2 linked regions of the Alligator mississippiensis genome follow. The protein of the gene in region 2 interacts with the protein of the main gene of each other region in a biochemical or structural test. Links are inferred from orthologs where the notes say so. Each region holds a gene or a part of one and is shown on either strand. Other genes may lie near its edges.

Region 1 (9,923 bases), on a different chromosome or scaffold from region 2:
TGGAGTGAGCAGGCAGGGTCTCTATGGAGACTGGCCCGGGACCCTGGTGGGCAGGATGTGCTTGGCTGGATGGGTGAGTTGGGGCCACAGGTGGGCAGGAAGCGGTATCCAGGAGCAGAATGGGCAGACAGGGCCAGGGCCAGGACTGGGCTTGCGGGGCACAGACAGTGTGGGGCTGGGTTCGGGGCCAGGGCAGATCCACACCCTGCACAATGGATAGTAAGTGGCCCAACTTGGAAAGGGGGTGGAGAACGTGTCCATGACCCAGCTCCTGCTTCTCCTGTGCCAGCACTGGAATGCCTGGGCAGCCCCAGTACAGTATGGCCCAGCAGCATGGGGCTGACCCAACAGATTGTGACTGGATTAGGCCACACTGCACTGCTTGGTTGGCCTGGTCATGATCTGTCTTATGAGGACATGGCTCTGCCCTGGCCCCATCCTGTCATCACCCCATGATCCTGCTCCTGGCCCTTGCCCCACCTGCCCATCCTGTTCCCAGATGCCAGTCCCTGCCTTCCCATGGCCCCATCCCACCCACCTGGCTGAGTGTGCTATACCCATGGGGGTCCCAAGCTAGTCTCCATGGAGACCCTGTTCTTCCACTTGATCTAGTGCCCCTGGCAGTGGGCACAGGGGAGACTGGTCAGGGTGCCCAGGCAGCAGGGCCAGCGCTAGGGCTGGCAGTGTCATTGACACTGGAAGCAGAAGCTGGAAGGAGCTGCTGCCACTGCCAGGGCTGCTGGGAAGTGAGGTATGGCCACCACACTGCCCCAGCCCTGCTGCGCACCTGGGGCCAGTGGGACCAACTGTACGCACCACAGCCCAGGCTGTCCTGGGCTGGGCTAGGCAGGGCCAAAGGATCTGGAGCTGGCTAGATAAAATCCCATGGACTGTATTTTGCCCATCCCTGTTGTAAGCTGTTGGGGTGGGAGGCTGGGATGTATGGACACTAGGTAACTGAGGGGTAGTTCTCAGTTTGGCAGGAGGCTTTTCTGCAAGCTGTTTGCTGGTCATGGTGACAAGTGATCCAGTGCGTCATGCTGATGCTGCATTTCTCGGAAATTGTATGCCTGAATGACTGGTTTTTCAAATGCATTTAGCCTGAGAGGAGATCTTTCCTCTGGCAACAGACATCACAGTGCAAAGTTAAAAAGAGAGAAAAATCATTTGATCACAGAAATACTGCAATTAAAATTAATGGTCACAATCAAACGTGGGTTTCCAAGCAGAGGCAAAAATTAGCTTTCTCAGTGGCAGGGAGTGGCCAGCAGGAGTCCCTGTTGATCACCTCAGTGAATCATTCAGAGCTTGAGTCTTTCACTTATATCTCAGATCAAGCAATTAGTGCCCCTACAGCTTTATTTTGCATTGTCTTCCCTACCATCAAAGGTAATCTTTATTGAACACTTATATGAATCCCTATTTGCTAATGCCATCCAGGATACTTTGTGTAAAAATAGCAAAATTGAAAGAGGGAAATTGGGAAATAAATTCTTATATTGCAGTTTTCCAAATGAAATCTCCCTCAAGTTGTTGTGAAGTGGTTGGTACTTTAAAACTGTAACACTCAATCTAGCATAAAAGCTATTTAAATCTTTCAAATTAGATCCCCCCTTCCCCCATTTCTTTTTCTTTTCTCTCCTGTATTGTGATACTGGGTATTTTTTTTATAAATTTGAAGATGAAACCAGCATGGAAAATGTCTATATTTAACCCTTAAGTTTTCTGCTTTTCCTCGGTGATCCAGACTGCTAAAGATTTTGGTTCAAATGCCAAGAAATTTGCTCATCACCTGTAAACAGCATCACAGTTAACCATGCTTCTTAGTTCACTTTACACTTTCACATAATAGCTGTTTAGAAAAGGTAGGGAATATTAATTTATTCAATTTCAAATGTTACTAAACACTGGTCATGAATAACTCCTGTCTACATTTTAGGCTCCCTTGAAAATACTTCTTCCAAGATTTAATGGTAAATAATATAAATAAAGATCGTAGTGTAAAGATGGTTATTTGAAACTGAAATTAATTACCAGTAAATTAATTACCAGTAAAAATATGAGGCAGGTTATTTTAACTCTAAGTGCACCAAGGCATTGATTTGCCTGTGCATATTTGTGGAGCAAAAGTATTAACAGGATATTACTTACTTATTAGGAAAACTGAAAAGTATATGTATATGAGACAAAAGTATATGAGGCAAAACTGAGAATACTGAGAACACAGCATTTTCATAGAAAACAAGATAATCCCCTCAGAATCAAAGTGGTAATTTGATTTTTGGACTGTATTTAAAACATCTATAATTGGAAGTTAAAAGGAAATGAGCTCATAGGTACTGATTCTTCTCTTTACTATATTTAACAATTATAGCATTATAGGGAGGGAGATAGCAAGCTTATATCTTAAAAGCTAGATTGCATTTATATTTTACTTGAATCCTCAAACTGTAACAATAATAACATGTGTTTGCTGTTATTAGGCTACCCAATATATGCAGTAGGTTACACAGGTGATACTCACCGTACAGTATGGTTAACATTGACACAGGCATGACAAGGAAACCCAACAGCATATCAGCTATTGCGAGTGACATTAGAAAATAATTAGTGGCATTCTGTAGCTTTTTCTCCAGTGACACAGCCATGATGACAAGAATATTCCCAGCAATGGTTAGAACAATCACAATAACTGTCAACAAAGCTGGCCAATTTTTCTCTGGAAGCTGAATCCATGATGAAAAGCAGGGTGGGCTCGGACTGCCTTCACACGAAAGATTAGTTAGGTTTTCAGAGTCCACAGTTAAGTTAAACAGATGAGATGTGTTAACCTCTCCAGATACAAAAACATTTTTGTAAAGTCTTCTCTCATGATTTAATTGTATTAAGGAGTTTGTAGTTGGGTTCACAGAACTCTCCTCATCACAAAGAATATCCATTGCTGAAACTGGTGAGTATGTATAGTAAAAAGCTGAAAGCATAAATTTTTGTCACCATCAGGCTTTATATTCCTTTGTTGTCCAAAGCTGAAGCTGGTGTAAAGGAAGGATTATTTTTTGATAATTACTTTTTCTTTATTATCCGGATGGAATTATTCTGAACGCTGAAATACTTTCTTTTCGGCTCCCTGTGAAGTCCCTTATTAGCATATGTTAAAAATCCAGTTGAAAAACAAAATCAATATGGAGAATAGAAAATGTGGACTTGAGGTTTTGGAGAGCAAAAACAATGGGCAAAAAACTTTTGCAACCATCAGGACTCTCTTCTGTAGCTACATCTTATTGCTCTTCATAACTGTAATCACACAATTTTAAATGCAGCAGTATTAAAATAGCTTGCTATACAAAACAGCAGAGCTCTGTTCCACAATGAGAAAGTTGATTAAAGATTCCACCCAGCATCTAACTCTTACAATAATAAGATATGCTCTTATTTATAGTTCATCTTCCATATTACTGGCTGATAGTCTCTGACTTCTGTCATATTTCAATATCATTCTGAGTCTCACACCAGTGATTACAAGTAATATTCCACATTGATTTTAATATCTAATAGTATCTTTTGGCTCAGCATGGCTTCAAAATAGAAATAAAATGACTAAATGCTACAATTAAAAATATAGTATAGGAAGACTTACATTGCTGAGAGCCCACATTCAAAGTTCCTTAGATCCACCTTGTACTCTGATTTGCCATATCCTTCTCTGAGTCCCTTCTCTCTAGTGGCCACAAAAACACTAGTATTTTGATTACAGTTACGTTGACTTCTAAACTGTACACTTGAGAGAAGCCAGTTCCTGTGTAGCCAGTCTTGTTCTTTTCTTCTGAGAGAGAGGCTGCTTGCTGTATCTTTCCTTGTGCATTTTCCCCCCCAAGGGCAAGCTACATGGAGAGTAATAACAATATCAGACCCCCCCTCAAAGTGATACAAAAGAAAGCACACGAACTAGAAGGAGCAGTCTCCAGAAAGAGATTACTGATTTCAACAGGAATGTAATTTCTTGCTCACTGCCTTGTTCAGTTTGTCAGACCTCCCACTATCTAGATGTCATAAACTGCAAGGTAGCAACAGCAAAGGAGGACAGACCAAATAGGGTCTTTTTTTGGTAACTGCCAGTTTTTTCATTTGATCATTTTTGAGGTCTTAGTTTTGTTTAAGAAAATGCACATTTTCCCTTTGCAAAGGATGCCCTTCAAGCCAGCTGTGTACAATTATAATATCTTGTGGGGTGAATGTTTGAGGAAGACAATAAATAAAGATAGTAATGGTACATGCTGGTAAAACTGTAAATGTGCAGCTTTTTCCATCCTAAAGGTTGCAGCTTTTATGCTAACCCTAAACTGAATTACTCATGTTCAGTCCTCCCTTATCTGATTCCTGGGTGTGTGCTGATGACCTAACCAAACTGCCAACAGATATTTATAAAAAATAAAAAGTAATCATAATTTAATTATTTGTCAGGAAGTGGAAGGTACAAATAAACCCTGATAACCTATTTGGAAGAAAAGTGCCCCAAATGAAGTAGGCAGACAAGGTTTCTTGGGTGAATTTGATATCTTTTATTAGACCAACCCAAATAGTTGGAGAATAGTTATTAAGCAAGCTTTCGGGTTCAAAAACCCTTCGTCAGGCTAAGGAAGTTTCAGCAGTTGGTGTGTGCTCTTCCTGGATGGAATGAAAAGTAAAGAAGCCAGAGGCTGGGCTGGGGAGTCAGTTGCCAGGCTGATTATAATGTGTCAAAAATCCAATGTCTATATTTAGTCCACGATCTCTAGTATCCAGGAGGTTGATGAAATGGAGTTCACAGACCACCTTCCCAGCAACACACTCGTAGCCACCATGGACGTTACCATCCTATATACCAACATCCCACACCAGGATGGCATCCAAGCCTGCCTTACATATCTACAGGAACAAGATTACAACACAGATTACAGACCCAAAGATATTACTGACCTTATACACTTCATCCTCACACACAACAATTTCACTTTTAATAACCAACACTTCCTCCAGATGATGGGAACAGCTATAGGCACTAAAATGGCCCCACAGTATGCAAACCTTTTTATGAGCCACCTGGAAGAAGACTTCCTCAAGAACTACACCATCAAACCCTTGCTATACTTAAGATATATCAATGACATCTTCATCATTTGAACTGAAAACCTACAATCTCTGATTGAGTTCCATCAGAAATTCAACAATCACCATCCCTCCATCCGACTTTCTCTAGAATACTCCAGCACCAGCATCTCCTTTTTAGACACGATGATCAATATCCAGAATGATAAAATACAAACCACATTATACAAGAAACCCACAGACCAACATACATATCTGCACAGAACCAGCAATCACCCTAAACGCACCAAAAAAGCTGTGATATACAGCCAAGCCCTCAGATACCACCGCATTTGTACTGAAGAGAACACCTGGGATTGCCACCTCACCAATCTTAAAAAGGCTTTCACCCAACAAGGACACTCCTCCAGAGAGGTAGATCGCATGTTTGAAACAGCCACCTAGATACCACATGAAGAACTGCTGCAGTACAGAAGAAAAACACCCACAAATTGCACACCGCTGGTTATGACATATCACCCCTCCCTTGAACCTGCACGAAAAATCCTCAAACAACTGCAACCCATACTAGAAAGAGACCCTATTCTTAAAAAGATCTTCCCAGAGCCACCCATCCTAGCCTTCAAACAAGCACCGAACCTCACCAACCTCATCACCAGAAGCAAACTTCCTTAAGCCCAGAACACACCAAAAGGATCCAGACCGTGCCATGACAAGAAATGCAAAACCTGCCAACACATCTCCACCACCCCCACTATTACTACACCCCACAACAGAGCCAGCAGCATTCCTGGATCTTACAGCTGCACCTCCAGAAATGTAATATACCTCATCCAATGCACCAAATGCCCTGATGGAAAATACGTAGGAGAGACCAAACAACAACTGCACGCCAGAATGAACGCACACCGGAAATCTATCAAAGACAGAAATACCCAATTACCGGTGGGGGCACATTTCTCACAGGAGGGCCACTATCTCTCCAGTCTCTCAGTCCTGATCCTCAAGGGAAACTTACACAACACTCCCCAGAGACGAGCCTATGAGCTCCATTTCATCAACCTCCTGGATACTAGAGATCATGGACTAAATATAGACATTGGATTTTTGACACATTATAATCTGCCTGGCAACTGACTCCCCAGCCCAGCCTCTGGCTTCTTTACTTTTCATTCTATCCAGGAAGAGCACACACCAACTGCTGAAACTTCCTTAGCCTGACGAAGGGTTTTTGAACCTGAAAGCTTGCTTAATAACTATTCTCTAACCATTTGGGTTGGTCTAATAAAAGATATCAAATTCACCCAAGGAACCATGTCTGCCTATGTCCTTAGACCAACACAGCTACAACCTACACCACTGCCAAATGAAGTAGTACAGTCATGTAAAGTGTTCTGGGATAAATAGTGGAATTAAACCCCCTTCCGTGATTTTTCCTATTCCTTTGTAATATCTGTGCCATGACACTTATGGGAGACTAGTTGACTATTCTTTTCCACATTGTAGTAGGGTTGGAGTGTTGTTGTACAACCCTGTGTTGGAAATCTTGTCCAACATCCTTCCCAGCTATACGCTTGGTCCCGTAAAAGATATCACAAAAAACCCTTGCCTCTAGTACATTTCCTAAACCATCACAGGTACAACAATACAGAATGAATAATTACAGAAAAAAGGAAAACACTTTTCATGGAACAACCACTCTGTTTCTGACCTCACAGTCCTTTTAGTCAAGGGAAATCTGAAAAACACCTTCAAAAGACAGACGTGGGAGCCAACATTTATAACATTCATAACACTAAAAATCATAGATTAAGCCCAAAAAATGTCTTTCTGACTCACTACACTCTACCTGCTATCTCTGCTAAAATCTCTGCACTCCACAGGTAATAATAACCCTTTTCTCTTCTGAATAGTCCTGTTCTACGTAAGTTGGCGTTCGTTTGAACTATATTCCCCTTGTTTTGAAGCTATTTCTGATAGCCTCTCTCTGTTCCTACTTTTCAGTCATCTTCCATTCCTTTAAGTGACTGTTTTAATTCACAAAACACAACCCCCAACCCCAGCCCACACTGGTGGATAGCATACTTTCCTGGGAGTTGTGGCTTTGAACTCCTGGGACACATCCAGATGAGTGCCCACGTCCAGTTTGCAGCACCTCAAAAGTAGTTTGAGGCACCACAAACTACATGCAGTGCACATGCACCCATTCGCTACACTGCTAATTTGTAGCGTGGCTGTTTTTTTGATACCAGGAGATCCCTGAGGCTAAGAAGGGCCTAAACAGTAGGTCCTCCATTTTCTGAGCAACTGTTTTAGCTAGTAGTTGTTGATAGACATGGACACTGGCATCACTCCCTCCTCAAGCCGTGCATAAGAGTGGCAAGGCCTATTGTGCTCTTTGCTGAACTTAACCCTGCCAACATGCATTAGGTGTGTTCTGAGTGCACCTACTGGATCAGTACCTTGAGGAGACTTAGGACCAGAAATGGCTAGTTAATAAATCCCAAATGGATATAGGTATGAGACAGTGGCTGAGATACTCATCTTTGTCAAGGTGGCATCATTTAATGCAAGTAGCACAAATGTAGGTGCCTACTTAAGTTTACCAGTAAAAACATAGCTGCCTTTGCCCTTTCAGGCCACATCCAAATGAGCGTGGTTGTTTGTTTCCCCAGGGACAAGTAGCAGCAACACACCTTGTGAGCAAAAAATTACATTCCTGCTGGATTTAATAATCTCTTTCTAGAGACTGCTCCTTCTAGTTTGCGTGCTTTCTTTTGTATCACTTTGATTCTGATATTATTATTACTCACCATGTAGCTAGCCCTTCGGGGGGGATGCACGACGAAAGATACATTTTGTGCCACTGCTACTTGTCCCTGGGGAATGCCCATGCCATGGGCACTCTGGTGCATGGCAGGTTACCCTGGGTGAGCTAGGGGAGGCTGGGCCCAGCAACTGTGCCGGCCTCAGCAGCCTTACCTGGGGTCCTGGGGGCTTTGGGGAGCTGCAGCCATGGCACTCCTGCAGCTGGGAGCCTGGCCGGCAGTTGGAGTGTGGCTCCAGCCAGACAGGGTCTGGTTTTAGGCAGCATGCACTGCCACTACGTGAGCCACCCCACATTTTTTTGGTGTGACCCTGGGGAAAAAAACCCTCTTGCACTGCAAGGCAGTAGCATGGGGCATGCCTGCATGTGCGATTTGTGGCACCATGTACCATGCATCCGTGCCATGCTCATGTGGACGTTGCCTCAGGTGCCTAAACAGATATGTAGTTTTTGTTTGTTTGTTTGTTTTTTTAACTGTTCAGCTGGACTTTAGTTAGCTACATTTTGCCTGAGTTCTACTTTAGGCACCTTTGTCTCTTTTTGGGTCTGGTTTAAGGCATCTTGACTAGGCTCGCGCAGGTATAACTCTCAGGTTTTCTGAATAATGTGCCTTTGGCTGAAGTGTCCTTCCTTCCCCTTTCTCTGCCTGGAAAGAACCTAGTACCTTGTGGAGTCTATTGGAAACATACATCAATAATTATTATTTAGTATTTACCTATAATTATTTCCCTAAGAAAACACCAGGTTCCTTAATATTCAACTGAAACCATAGGGTTTTATCAAATAAAGCAATAAGTTTCCTGCTTTTCTGATGAATTGAGGGCACCTATATTCTTTGGAGGTGCTCCTCCACTTACAGAAGTTGGTCTACATTTTGTGCAGTTAATGGGAAAAATTCAAGCCTAAAGAACAAATATAACCCACAGATTTTTACAAAATGGTACATGTGAAGGAGTCAGCTCTGAAAATTGCAGGTCCCAACATAAGTCTTCTATTCTGAATTAAACAACCTTCCACTCAGATAATGGTAGAGCATTACACACTAGAGCCTATTGTCTCTGTGGGCTGAATACTTGCATTAGTAATAAAGACAGCTGTGATTTGTTCCATTTTCTGTGAAGTGAAGTCTTAGTTTGAAGCATCATCCATGTGGTCCCAAGCACCCTTTAGAAACATAGCTGGCAGCAGGACAGACCATGCTTTTTTTACTTTCTAGAAGGCACCAAGATATAATATTCACAAAAGTTGTTTCTCTATTCATTGACTCTATTTGGAAATGTTGAAAGACACCTGTTTCATTTTTTTTGCTTGATTGCTAGAGCATTTTTAATCCATTGCCCAGACTTGAAACAGTAGATATTTGGTTACAAATTTATTGCCACCTGACAGGTGTTTGATTCACAGGAAATAAATGCATGGTCTTAATCCAGTTTCTCAAAAAACATGCATCTTACAATAGAGAATCTCAGTGGAGAGGACAAACACTAAGTGAATGTAGAGGATTAAGCTATTTTTCAGACCCAGGAGGTGTTCCTTATAAATCTCCTCTAGCTGGAAAGCCATGTGGAAGCTGTTGTTGCTTTTGCCTTGTTCTTCTGTATTGCAAATACACTGAGGACATTGATCCTACAAACACATACTTGTGTAATTTCAGACATGTGAATAGTCTCATTTAGTTAAACACACACGTTAGTTTTTGCTGGATTAATGCCTTATCTCAATTTCAATATATCTTCCCTCTTCCCACCACTAGCATTACATTTTCTTAAAGATAAAGGAATAATATATTATTCCTTTCCAAAGACTAGGAAGTAGAGTACAATGTGAGGCTGTGGACAGACCAAACAATTATGCTGCTTTAAAAGGGAGGAGGTGTACTTATCTTTCAAGAGTACATATCAGCTAATATATGATAGCTGTTCCATGTGAGTGTTCCTATCCCACATTAAGGGCCTTGTTGCACATTAATTGTAGGCAGCTCCTGGGGCTCTTAACCCCTGGATTATCCACA
Region 2 (10,388 bases):
CTTCCCTTGATTTTGAGATTGATGCTGCCAGAACGACCTTTTATTGCTACACCTGCATACCTGCCTGCCTCCTCCACATTCAAATACCTTTTTGGTGGCTTCCCCTTCAGGTTTCTTCACCATCAGTTTTACCCTGTTGCCCGTAACTTTTTTAAAAAAAACAAAGCAAAACACAGAAGTGTAACAAAGTCACCCATGTCAAAGTCAGTTTTTCTATACGGACTTAGTCCAAAAGCAACTTTCTTTTCTTCCTTCAAAATGGTCTCTCCTTCAAGAAGCTTTCTAAACAGTGCTCCTGTGCCTTCTTGCACATGAATCTTAGGTACTGTATTAGTCTAGCATTACCTTGTAAAAAGTTCCTTGAGCAGACAGCTTGCATTTTAGTGTTTCACCCTGCAGGGTAAGTTTAGTTTAAAAGTCCATTGAAAGCTTGAAGTGGGAGTAGTTGGGGGGGGGGGGGGGGGCTGGGAACCAAACAAAAAAACCCCAAAAACAACCCCCCCCCCCCCCCCACAAGCTGTGCAATTAACTCATTTACCTCCAGACCAAGCTAAAATGGGAGACTATGGACAAGCATTCAAAGCCAGGCAATACAGAACATTAAGCCTGAAGGTTAAACACAATGCACTAGTCCAGGATACCATGTAGCCCCTTTCTGTTTCTGCCATGTTCAAATACAAGCAACATACCAAAAGAGCTCCACTGTATAAATCGCTTTATTTTCTGCTTATTAGTTCTTTACCAACACTACAACCATACTGAGAACACAAAATTCCTGTTTGCTTTAGTCAGGGAGAATCACAGTCTACAGACTTATTTATTCACTTAGACAAGATGAACGCTGTTTAAAAAAAAAAAAAACAACAAAAACAAACACCCAAAAAACCAGAAAAAGCAAAACAAAAAAAAAACCCCTTACTCCAAGTTACTTCATAAAATTCACAAGAACACAGGTTGATGCACTTAAACTTCAGATTCATTTTTGAAGCGATTGGAATTCTTACACAGATTGCTACTTTATCCTGCAGGCTTAAGTAGTGCATTGAAGCCACTGGTTAGTTTCAACTATAACCCTATTAGAGGACATTTTCAAAATGAAGCATTTATCTTTTGTTCAGTAGCAAAAAGTGTTTATTTTTTAATCATCTGCCACACAAGTTTCAGTAATTAAAGTTACTTCTCCCAGAATGACATTAAAAAAAAATTCAGAAGTATAATTAAAGTTCATCCTTTTACCTACAAAACAGGATATCTAAAGTAACAAAAATTACCAAGAAAATACAAAATTGTGAATTCAACTTAATGCAAAAAGTCTAATGAAGCAATTTAGGCTTATCCCCAAACCATGTCTGAGGAGATAGAAAGCAGTACATATTAACTCTAGACTGAAACTGAAAGAACCCAAGTTTTCATTTTGATTGAGAATATGTTTAAGAACCATCAGTATAACAGAGCTTCAAGTTTTCCAGTTTAGGCATCTACTTTGTGCTTGGCTTTATTTTTTTTTCCCCAGAAGAAAACAATATATTGTATCTTGGTGCTTTGGTTTCTGCACCTTTACACCACATTATGTTTGATCAGTTAAACTGAAATAAAAGGCTTCTGGAATTTGTAATAGCTAGAAAATAGGGCAATGAGCTTTCAGTTATGAGACTAAGTAGAGATCTTTCATTTCCCCATCCAAACTGGGAATTTAGGATCATTGGTTTTTAGCTAGCTTCTCCAATTGGTTTTTCATTTACACAGATTTCTTTAGGAATCACTGCTCCATTTTCTAGCATCAAGAACCCTTTCATTGCGATTTGCAATTCACACCAATTGTGTCCCTCTTTAGAGCCATTTTCTAATCACCAATTTTTTCCAAGTGGCCTTAAGCACTCAATTTTTAATCTTCCCATACATCTTTGGTAAAAAGCTCCATGTACATTATATTTAACATGCAGAGTTAAAATTGCAAAAATGTAGTGTAATGCCCCAATTTAAATGTGAATCTAATACCCTAAAAAAAGAAAAAAAAAAAAAGAGAAAAGCCATTTTCTTCTGGTTTTGTAGCATACATTCCTAGAATTCCCCAATAGACTTTAACTCCTTGAGGAAATCTGAAGTTAATCTTTAAGGCTGAATAAGAACCAGCTGCTTTACAATTTTTTTTTGCACCTAGTATTAATACTTGATTGAACTCATTTCATACCTACTCAAACACTTGGTTTTTTTGCCAGTCACAGGCATCTGAAAACTGCGATACAGCAAATGAGCTGCTTGCCCTTTAAGACCTAAATATGGAGATTTACATTCATAGTCATATACTCACTCTTCTCCCCACCCTGACTGAGCAGTTACTCACTGGATTTAAGTTCGGACAGCCAATGGAGATCCTTTCATACAGAATTATATTAACATGCTACTGGAACAGAGGGCTAAGGCCATTTGCAGCTACTTGCATTAATTAAAATTTGTGGTCTTGCAAAAACTAAACTGATAATCACTTCCTCTAAATGGTAATTATTCAAGCATTAAAAAAAATAAAAAGAAAACAAGAAAAAAAAAAACACCTTTCAGTTAAAAGCTTAGGAGTGAGCTTTCTTACTTGAGTGTTTATGGTACAGAAACAGAAGTTGTTTCTCTGCAGCTCCTTTAAAGCTACATAAAAATCACATAAGGCAAGGGGGGGGAGGGAAGGAGTCAACACAAACATTTCCTGTACTGCAAGACAAGGAAGTCAGGGTCTGATTTTTGCCCACAGTTTTGATTTTAAGTAAAAATCATCACATTATTGCTACATTTTCTGGAGATCTCTTGCATTGAAATGGGAGTCTGATGTGTAACTGATTATGATCACAAGAGTCAGTGATATTTAGCTGCAATGCAACAGGAACTGAATAGGAGTATACCCTGAAACTATTACATCATTCACGTCTTACTCACTATATGGTTGCTATGCTGTATGGGACCTACTTGCATCCCTATTCATGCATGATGTATGGTTCAGAACTTCACAGCTGACATTTCAAGCAGTTCTTACATTACCTAGTTAACATTACACCTGATATACACTTTGAACGCATTACAATGGTATTCTCACTACCTGCTGCTGTAGGCAAACATTTTTTTTTATTTCATATTAGTCTTGGAGATGAAAAAGACAAAATTTCAAGTCACTAATTACAGATCAGCAGAACTTTTTTTTTTTTTTTAAAAAAAGTCCTCCATATAAAAAGACAGACTGCGGTTTGATTTTAAGCAATCATTTTTAGTTTACTAGATGAAATAGACCTATCAACATATTCTGCATGAATGCAAGAAAGTAGCAATCTACAGCAATTCAAAGAAAAAAAAAGAGCCAGAAAGCATACACCCAGAGGTACCCTTACTCCTCCCACCCCAGAGGAATGGGGGTGGAAAAAAAAAAAAAGAGGGTAGTCAAGAAAGAATGAAAAAAAAAAAAAAAAAAAAAGAGTTACTTAGCAAATCTACAACGTGTCTTTTCCCCTTGTTTGCTGGAAGTCTGCCATAGCATCTAGTGCTTGTGTTCATGTCACATTTGAGGATTAGAGCATCCTAATGCCAAGCAAGAAGAGTTAAAATAGGAATCCAGTCAGTGTGTCGAAGAAAAGGGCGGTTGTGGGAGAAGAGGTGATCATAATCCTATGGATGCTTTGCTTTTCTGCCGAGAACTGGTCTTCTGGGAAGCCACGTGGGTTAATTCTTTATTTCTTTATTTATTCATTTTCCTTAAATTCTCCATAGCCTAAAAGAGTTTCATTTGTATGTGTGCGCGCGTGCGTGTCCCCCCCCGCCCGCCATTAGGATTTATAGTTGGACGTTAACCACGTCAGCCCTTCGTAGAGTCCGTCCCCCGTGGTGGCACAGGAGGGCTGCACGTACCAATTCCTATCCCTGATCCGCGTCAGGCCCAGTTTCTCCTGGATCTCGTGGGGTTTCATGGCGTCGGGGAGGTCCTGCTTGTTGGCGAAGATGAGGATGATGGCGTCCCGCATCTCCCGGTCGTTGATGATGCGGTGCAGCTCCTGGCGCGCCTCGTCGATGCGGTCGCGGTCGGCGCAGTCCACCACGAAGATCAGGCCCTGCGTGCCCGTGTAGTAGTGCCGCCACAGGGGCCGGATCTTGTCCTGCCCGCCGACGTCCCACACGTTGAACTTGACGTTCTTGTACGTCACCGTCTCCACGTTGAAGCCCACCGTGGGGATCGTGGTCACCGACTGGCCCAGCTTCAGCTTGTACAGGATGGTGGTCTTGCCCGCCGCGTCCAGCCCCAGCATCAGGATCCGCATCTCCTTGTTGCCGAAGATCTTGGACAGCACCTTGCCCATCTCGGCGGCATCCACGGGGCCCCGGGGTGGGGGAGGGGCGGGGGGAGGAAGGGGGGGAGGGGGCTCCTCACGGGCGCGGCCCAGCAAGGGGGGTGGGGGGGCGTGGGCCGCTGTCCCAGGCCAGGCCCGGCTTAGCCCGTCGGCACCCGGCGGCCCCTCAGCTCATGGAAGCCGGCACCGGCTCCTGCCTGCGGAGGGACCGAGAGACAAGGTGAGCGCCCGCCCGTGAGGGGCCCGACCCGGCCTCGCGGAGCAGCCCGTTACCTGCCACTGCCGCCGCCGCTCCCCTCAGGCCGCCGGAAAAGCCCGCCTCACTTCCCCTCAGCTCGCAACGCGCAGGCGCACCACGCGCCCGCCCGGCCGGACCGGCCGTTATGAGGCGGCCCCTCCCCCTCCGCGAGCGCACTGCGCCTGCGCCGCGCCCACGCACGCCCGGCCGCAAGACGCACCGCGCATGCGTGCAGCGGCTCTGGGCCTCACCGCGCATGCGGAGGAGAGGGACGCGCCAACGGTGATGCCCCCGCTGGGGTGTGCGCATGCGCTTGACGTCACTCGGGTGGGGCGAAGCCTGCTGGAGGAGGAGGAAGGCGGGCAGGGCGCCTGCGCGGCATTGCGCAACCGGAACACAAGGGAGCGGCCTTGGCTCGCGTAATTTTCCCGGGACGCGCGCTGCTCATGCGCAGAGCCGGGCGCCGCCTAAATTCGACTTCCGCCTTGCTGCGGCTGCGCCTGCTCAGTTGGGGAAGGAGGGGGCTAAAGGGAGGGTGTGCGCATGCGCGCACCGGCTGGGGTGTGGTTTCTATGGGGAGAGGCGCCACGCGATCCCACGTCAGCAGCTGCGCGCGGGGGTGCCCCGGGGTCCTCTTAAAGGGCCAGGCCGCGCGGGCCCGAGCCACGTGGGGGACGCAGGGCTGGGCCACGCCGGGCACAACATCGACCTACATATTTCCAGTGCGGTCCGTAGTGTCCAAGCCAGCCTGTCCCCAGCTCTTGGCTCTAGTCTCCTGTGTTCCTGCAGCACACAGTGACAACTGAGACCTGGCCTCTGAGCCGTGCCCTGAGTCTGACAAGCAGTGCCACGTGTCTGTCAGAGATGTCATGAGTAGCAGATACACGGGGGCAGGGCTAGCATTCAGAGTGACCTAGACAACTTGGAGGATTGGGTCAAAAGGAATTAAACAAGGACGAGTGCAAAGTCCTGCACTTGGGACGGAGCAATGCCCTGCACCGGTGGGGGCTGGGGGTGCCTGGCTGGGCAGCAGCTCTGCAGAAGAGGCCCTGGGGTGACAGTGGGCAAGAAGCTGGAGATGAGCCAGCAGTGTGCCCTCGTTGCCAAGACAGCTAACGGCATCCTGGGCTGCTTGGGTAGGACCGTTGCCAGCATGCCGAGGGAAGTGATTATTCTCCTCTACTCAGCACTGGGGAGGCCACATCAGGAGTCCTGTGTCCAGTTTTGGGCCCCCCGCTACAGAAAGGATGTGGACACACTGGGGAGAGTCAGCGGAGGGCAACAGAAATGGTCTGTGGGCTGGAGCATGTGATTTATAAAGACTGAGGGCGCGGGGTGATTTAGTCTAGAGCAGAGGAGACGGAGAGGGGATTTAATAGCAGCCTTCAACTACCTGAAGGGGACTCAAAAGAGGAAGGAGCTGGACTGGCAGATGACAGGACAAGGAGCAATGGGCTCAAGTTGCAGCAAGGGAAGTTGAGGGATATTAGGAAAAACCCTCACTAGGGGGGTGGTAAAACACTGGAACAGGTTACCCAGAGAGGTGGTGGACTCTCCATCCTTGGAGGTTTTTAAGACCCGGCTCGACAAAGCTTTGGCTGGGATGATCTAGTTGGGGCTGATCCTGCTTGGAGCAGGGGGTTGGACTAGATGTGACCTCCTGAGGTCCCTTCCAACCCTCATTTTCTATGACTATCAAGGGGTGCTGCAAGTTTATCAAGGGGCACTGACTCTATCAAGGGATGCCATGAGTCTACCAAGGGTTGCCATGAGTCTGTGAATGTTGAGAACTGATTAGAAGCACCAGGCAGAGGTTAAGGTGGATCAAGTAAAACCTAAACCAACCCATCCCACCAGCCTGGGTTATGAACTCCGAATCTATTTTGGGAGGTTTCCAGAATGCCGTCATGCTCACAACACAACACGTATGTGCTTGTGTATACCACTTATAGATTATGGTGCGTAGACTTTACATCAGGAAGGCAAATGCACATTACTATTACATTTTAAAACCCCACTAGACTACTATATAAATCAGATTAAACATTTAATGCATATTTTAATGAATGCCCTATCATTTATGTCCCAGGTGACTCTCAGCAGTCTCCTGGAGAGTTATATCTAATTCCTGGAGACTCCAGGGCAATCCTGGCAGGTTGGCAACCCGACCACCAGCATGGACTCAGTGACCATGGATTGTGTCAGCCAAATCTAATTTCCTTGTCTGACAAGGGAATGGGTCCAGGGGAAGCGGCATATGTGATGCGCTGGGGCTATAGTGAAGCTTTTAGCATTGTGACAAGACGTTCTCCTGAGCACGTGCGGGAAGCGTGGTCTATGTGAAGTCCAGTTTATATGCTGCTCTGTGCTGTCCTTTCACAGCGTCTGATGAAGTGAACTTGAGTTCATGAAAGCTAGTGCTTTATATATACATCTTATTGAGTTAGGCTATAAGGGTGAGTCTCATCCATAGTGCACCCACAGTTGTGATTCAATCTTTGTCCCCCACATGGGAGACCTGAATTTGATTCCTAGATGCAGGTGTAACTACAGCTATTGAAGCACCGAAGGTCTGGACTTTGGATACTGTCTTAATGGACTAAAGTGGGGGGATAGAAGGTCTGGCCAGCCTCCCCTCCTCCAAACTCCTCTCTGGATGTGTGTGTCAAAAGTCCTGGTGACCTCTCACACATGCACTATGATCCAGAAGGACTGTTGCCTGCTACATCAAGGATACCAGGGCACCCTGGGGTGCTGCCAGATCCTTTGAAGGGTGCCACAGGCTTATCCCTGTTTGTCCCACACTCCCACTGCTAAGCCCCTTTGCATGAAAGGGAGTAATGTATGAATCCGTTTTTGAAAGTAGGTGCTGCTCAAGTGGCAAAAGTTACACAGAGGGGTCTCGCATCCAACGTGGGGTGCCTTGAGTCCAGCAAGGTTGAGAACCTCTGGTCTGTAAGGCGTGTCTACCCTGCCTTCTACGTGAAGTCATTGTTAGACGGTTGAAAAAGCACACTTAAAAGATAGTTATCAATGTTTCACTGTCAAACTACGAGAATATTTCCAGTGGGGTCTTACTTCCCTTTGTCCTGGGCCAAGTTCCATTGGCTATTTTCATTAACATCCTGAATGATGCAATCGAGAGGGCAGTTATAAAGCTGTCAGTCTTACCAAGCTGTAAAGTGTTTCAGGTGCTCTCAAGATCATGATCAGAAATCAAAATGAACGTAATAAAGAGAGAAATTGTGTGCAAGCACCAAGATGGGATAAAGGTAAGTGCAGCATGCTATGGAAGGAGAAAGCAAGGGCACAAATACAAAATGGGGACTAACTGGATAGGCAGCAGTATTTCCAAGAAGGATCTCAAGGTTATAATGGAGCGTACGCTGAACATAAGTTAATAATGTGATTTTGTTGCATAACAGGCAAATTTCATCCTGCATTGTATTAAGAGGAATGGCCACCACAGAAGGTGGTTATTCTACTGTACTGGTGTGGGTGGAGACTTCAGATGAAATACTGGTGCGCTTTAAGTCACGCTTTAAAAAGGATGTAAAGAGACTGGAGTCCAGAAGAAAGCAGCAACCGCAAAAAAAAAAAGTGTTGCCATCATAACTTCATAGATTTCATAGACATTCGGGCTGGAAGGGACCCCGGAGGATCACTGAGTCCAGCCCCCTGCCCCAGGGGCAGGAAGTCAGCAGGGATCATAGGATCCCAGCAAGATAAGCATCCTAATGTGTCTTGAAGGCGTTCAAAGTGGGTGCTTGAACCGCCTCTGGCAGCAGTCTATTCCAAACCTTGGGGGCTCAGACAGTAAAGAAGTTTTTCCTTATGTCCAGCCTGAATCGGTCGTGGCGGAGTTTGTGACCGTTCGACCTTGGGGCGCTCTGGTGAACAGATTTTCCCCCAGATCCTGATAAGCACCCCTGATAAACTTATAGGTGGCCACCAGATCACCCCTGAGCCTGCGCTTTTCCAAGCTGAAGAGTCCCAGGGCTCTCAGCCTGTCATCATAAGGTCTGTTTTCCTGCCCTCTGATCATGCGCGTGGCTCTCCTCTGCCAACTTAAAAGGAAAGGTTGAAGAAACTGGTTTGTCTAGAAAAGACCTGATCAGCCTTTCAGAATTCAGAAGGCTGTTAAAAAGATGATTGATTATGCTCCATGCCCAAAATTGGCAGGGCAAGAAGAAAGTGGCTTAATTTGCAGCACAGAATTAGGCTGGATAGCATGAACTTTCTCTAAGGGTGGTGAAGCAGTGCAACATGTTTTCTGGCATGACGTTGTGAAACCCTCAGAGGAAGTTTTTTGAGAACAAGTTAGACAGCTGCCCTGGATTCTTAGTAGGATCAGTGCAGGGGAGGGACCATTGAGACTCTCCTGAGATCCTTTCCAGCCATGTATATCTAGGGTTGACCTGGTAGCCCCCAGAAGATCTCAAGTGCTTGCCCTTTATCGGAGGCATTGGAGGAGCAAAATTGGACGCAGCATTTCACAAGGCTTAAGCTGCACTGAGAGGTGCGACCTAACTGGGTGGATTATACCGTGCATGTGCAGACATAGTACTCCAAAGGGTTGCCACCCAGTCACTTTTCCCATGACCTAACTGGCTCGAGCAGAAGTGCTGTGGGTTTGGAACCGGAGCAGTACCCAGGCATTGCAAATTTGGCATCCACCCTTGGCAGAAATCTGAATGGTTAGTGTAACCATGTTGCAATAACCTGTCTCTATCAAAGGGCTTTTTGTTCTGGGAAATGTAATCAGAGTATTGCAGAAGATTCAGTGAAGGTGCTCAGACAGTTTTCAACACGAAAAGTTGCATAGGTAAAGGCTGGGAGAGGAGGGGGATGGAGGAGTAGAAAGGGGAATGGAGGGGGAGAGAGTTGGGGCAGTGGCTAGGGGAGGAGGATAAATGGAGATGAGGAGGGGAGAGAGATTTTAGGGCCCATGGCAGGAGAGAGAGGGGTATGGGAAGGTGGGAGGGATTTGGTGACATGGACTGAGGAGTCAGGGAAATTAATATGATGAGAGGGCGTCTTTGAAAACCAGGAGCTATAAAGTTGAAGTACACACATGGATGGAGTGGGGGAGCCGGCTACAGCGAGGTAGCAGGACTGAGGTTGAGGTCGTCATCATGGGTGGACTGGGGGGATGGTCTGCAAGGCCTGGCCAAAGCAGGCGCATGGGAGCATTGTGTGGACGCAGCACCTGAATCCACGTAAAGCTCAAGCTACACAACCCAGGGAGGGCGTGATCATCTGGGGTGCCAAAAATGGGGTGCTGGACACAAGGAGGCACTTCCTGCGTGCTAGTAGGTTGTCGCATGCCAATGCTTTAATAGGGTGGCAGCGGGAGGGTGAGTGGGAAACAGTTTGTGGGGGGCTCTGTATTGTGGGAAAGTGTCAGGGGAAAGGAAGGATGTTCCTGGCGGGCACCACGTCATTAACCTGTCCAGCCCAGGGACACAGACCCTCTCCCACTGGCCCCTGGTAGCAAGTATGCACTCAACACTTTACAAAGATGATCGTAATCCCCGTTTCCCAATAACAAAGCGTGTAAGATTGAGAAAGGCACCCAGCTGCCTGGATTTTACCCATCAGGGTGGCATCCTCTATAGGCCTCAGTGACAACGACAAATGCATAAATGCTGACTAGCTCCGACAGAAAACATTTAATAAAAACCAACCACAACAAGAACAAAGCTAAAGGAAAGCACCAGACCAAGCAAATATCCCCTCGCCCTCCCTAGGAAGTTCAATGTCAGAAAATGTGGTTAATCAAGGTAAAGTTCCCTGGTGATATCCTGTGACCTTCTGGGGCATTGTGC

The links. The genes of interacting proteins can lie anywhere in the genome.
Region 1: the proteins of ARF6 (region 2) and HTR2A form a complex in vitro, tested with the Homo sapiens proteins (2 studies listed by BioGRID). The link is inferred for Alligator mississippiensis from reciprocal best matches to the Homo sapiens genes ARF6 and HTR2A.

What each region holds. Positions count from the first base shown.
Region 1 is NC_081824.1:412,485,566-412,495,488, forward strand, and holds the start of HTR2A (5-hydroxytryptamine receptor 2A), read right to left. Parts: upstream 4,021-9,923; 5' UTR 3,638-4,020; exon of another isoform or gene 3,295-3,637; 5' UTR 2,982-3,294; coding exon 2,525-2,981; intron 1-2,524. UniProt on the Homo sapiens protein: G-protein coupled receptor for 5-hydroxytryptamine (serotonin).
Region 2 is NC_081825.1:297,971,403-297,981,790, reverse strand, and holds ARF6 (ADP-ribosylation factor 6), read right to left. Parts: upstream 4,717-10,388; 5' UTR 4,596-4,716; intron 4,520-4,595; 5' UTR 4,332-4,519; coding exon 3,804-4,331; 3' UTR 699-3,803; downstream 1-698. UniProt on the Homo sapiens protein: GTP-binding protein involved in protein trafficking that regulates endocytic recycling and cytoskeleton remodeling. GTP-bound form plays an important role in the transport of multiple palmitoylated proteins form the Golgi to the plasma membrane.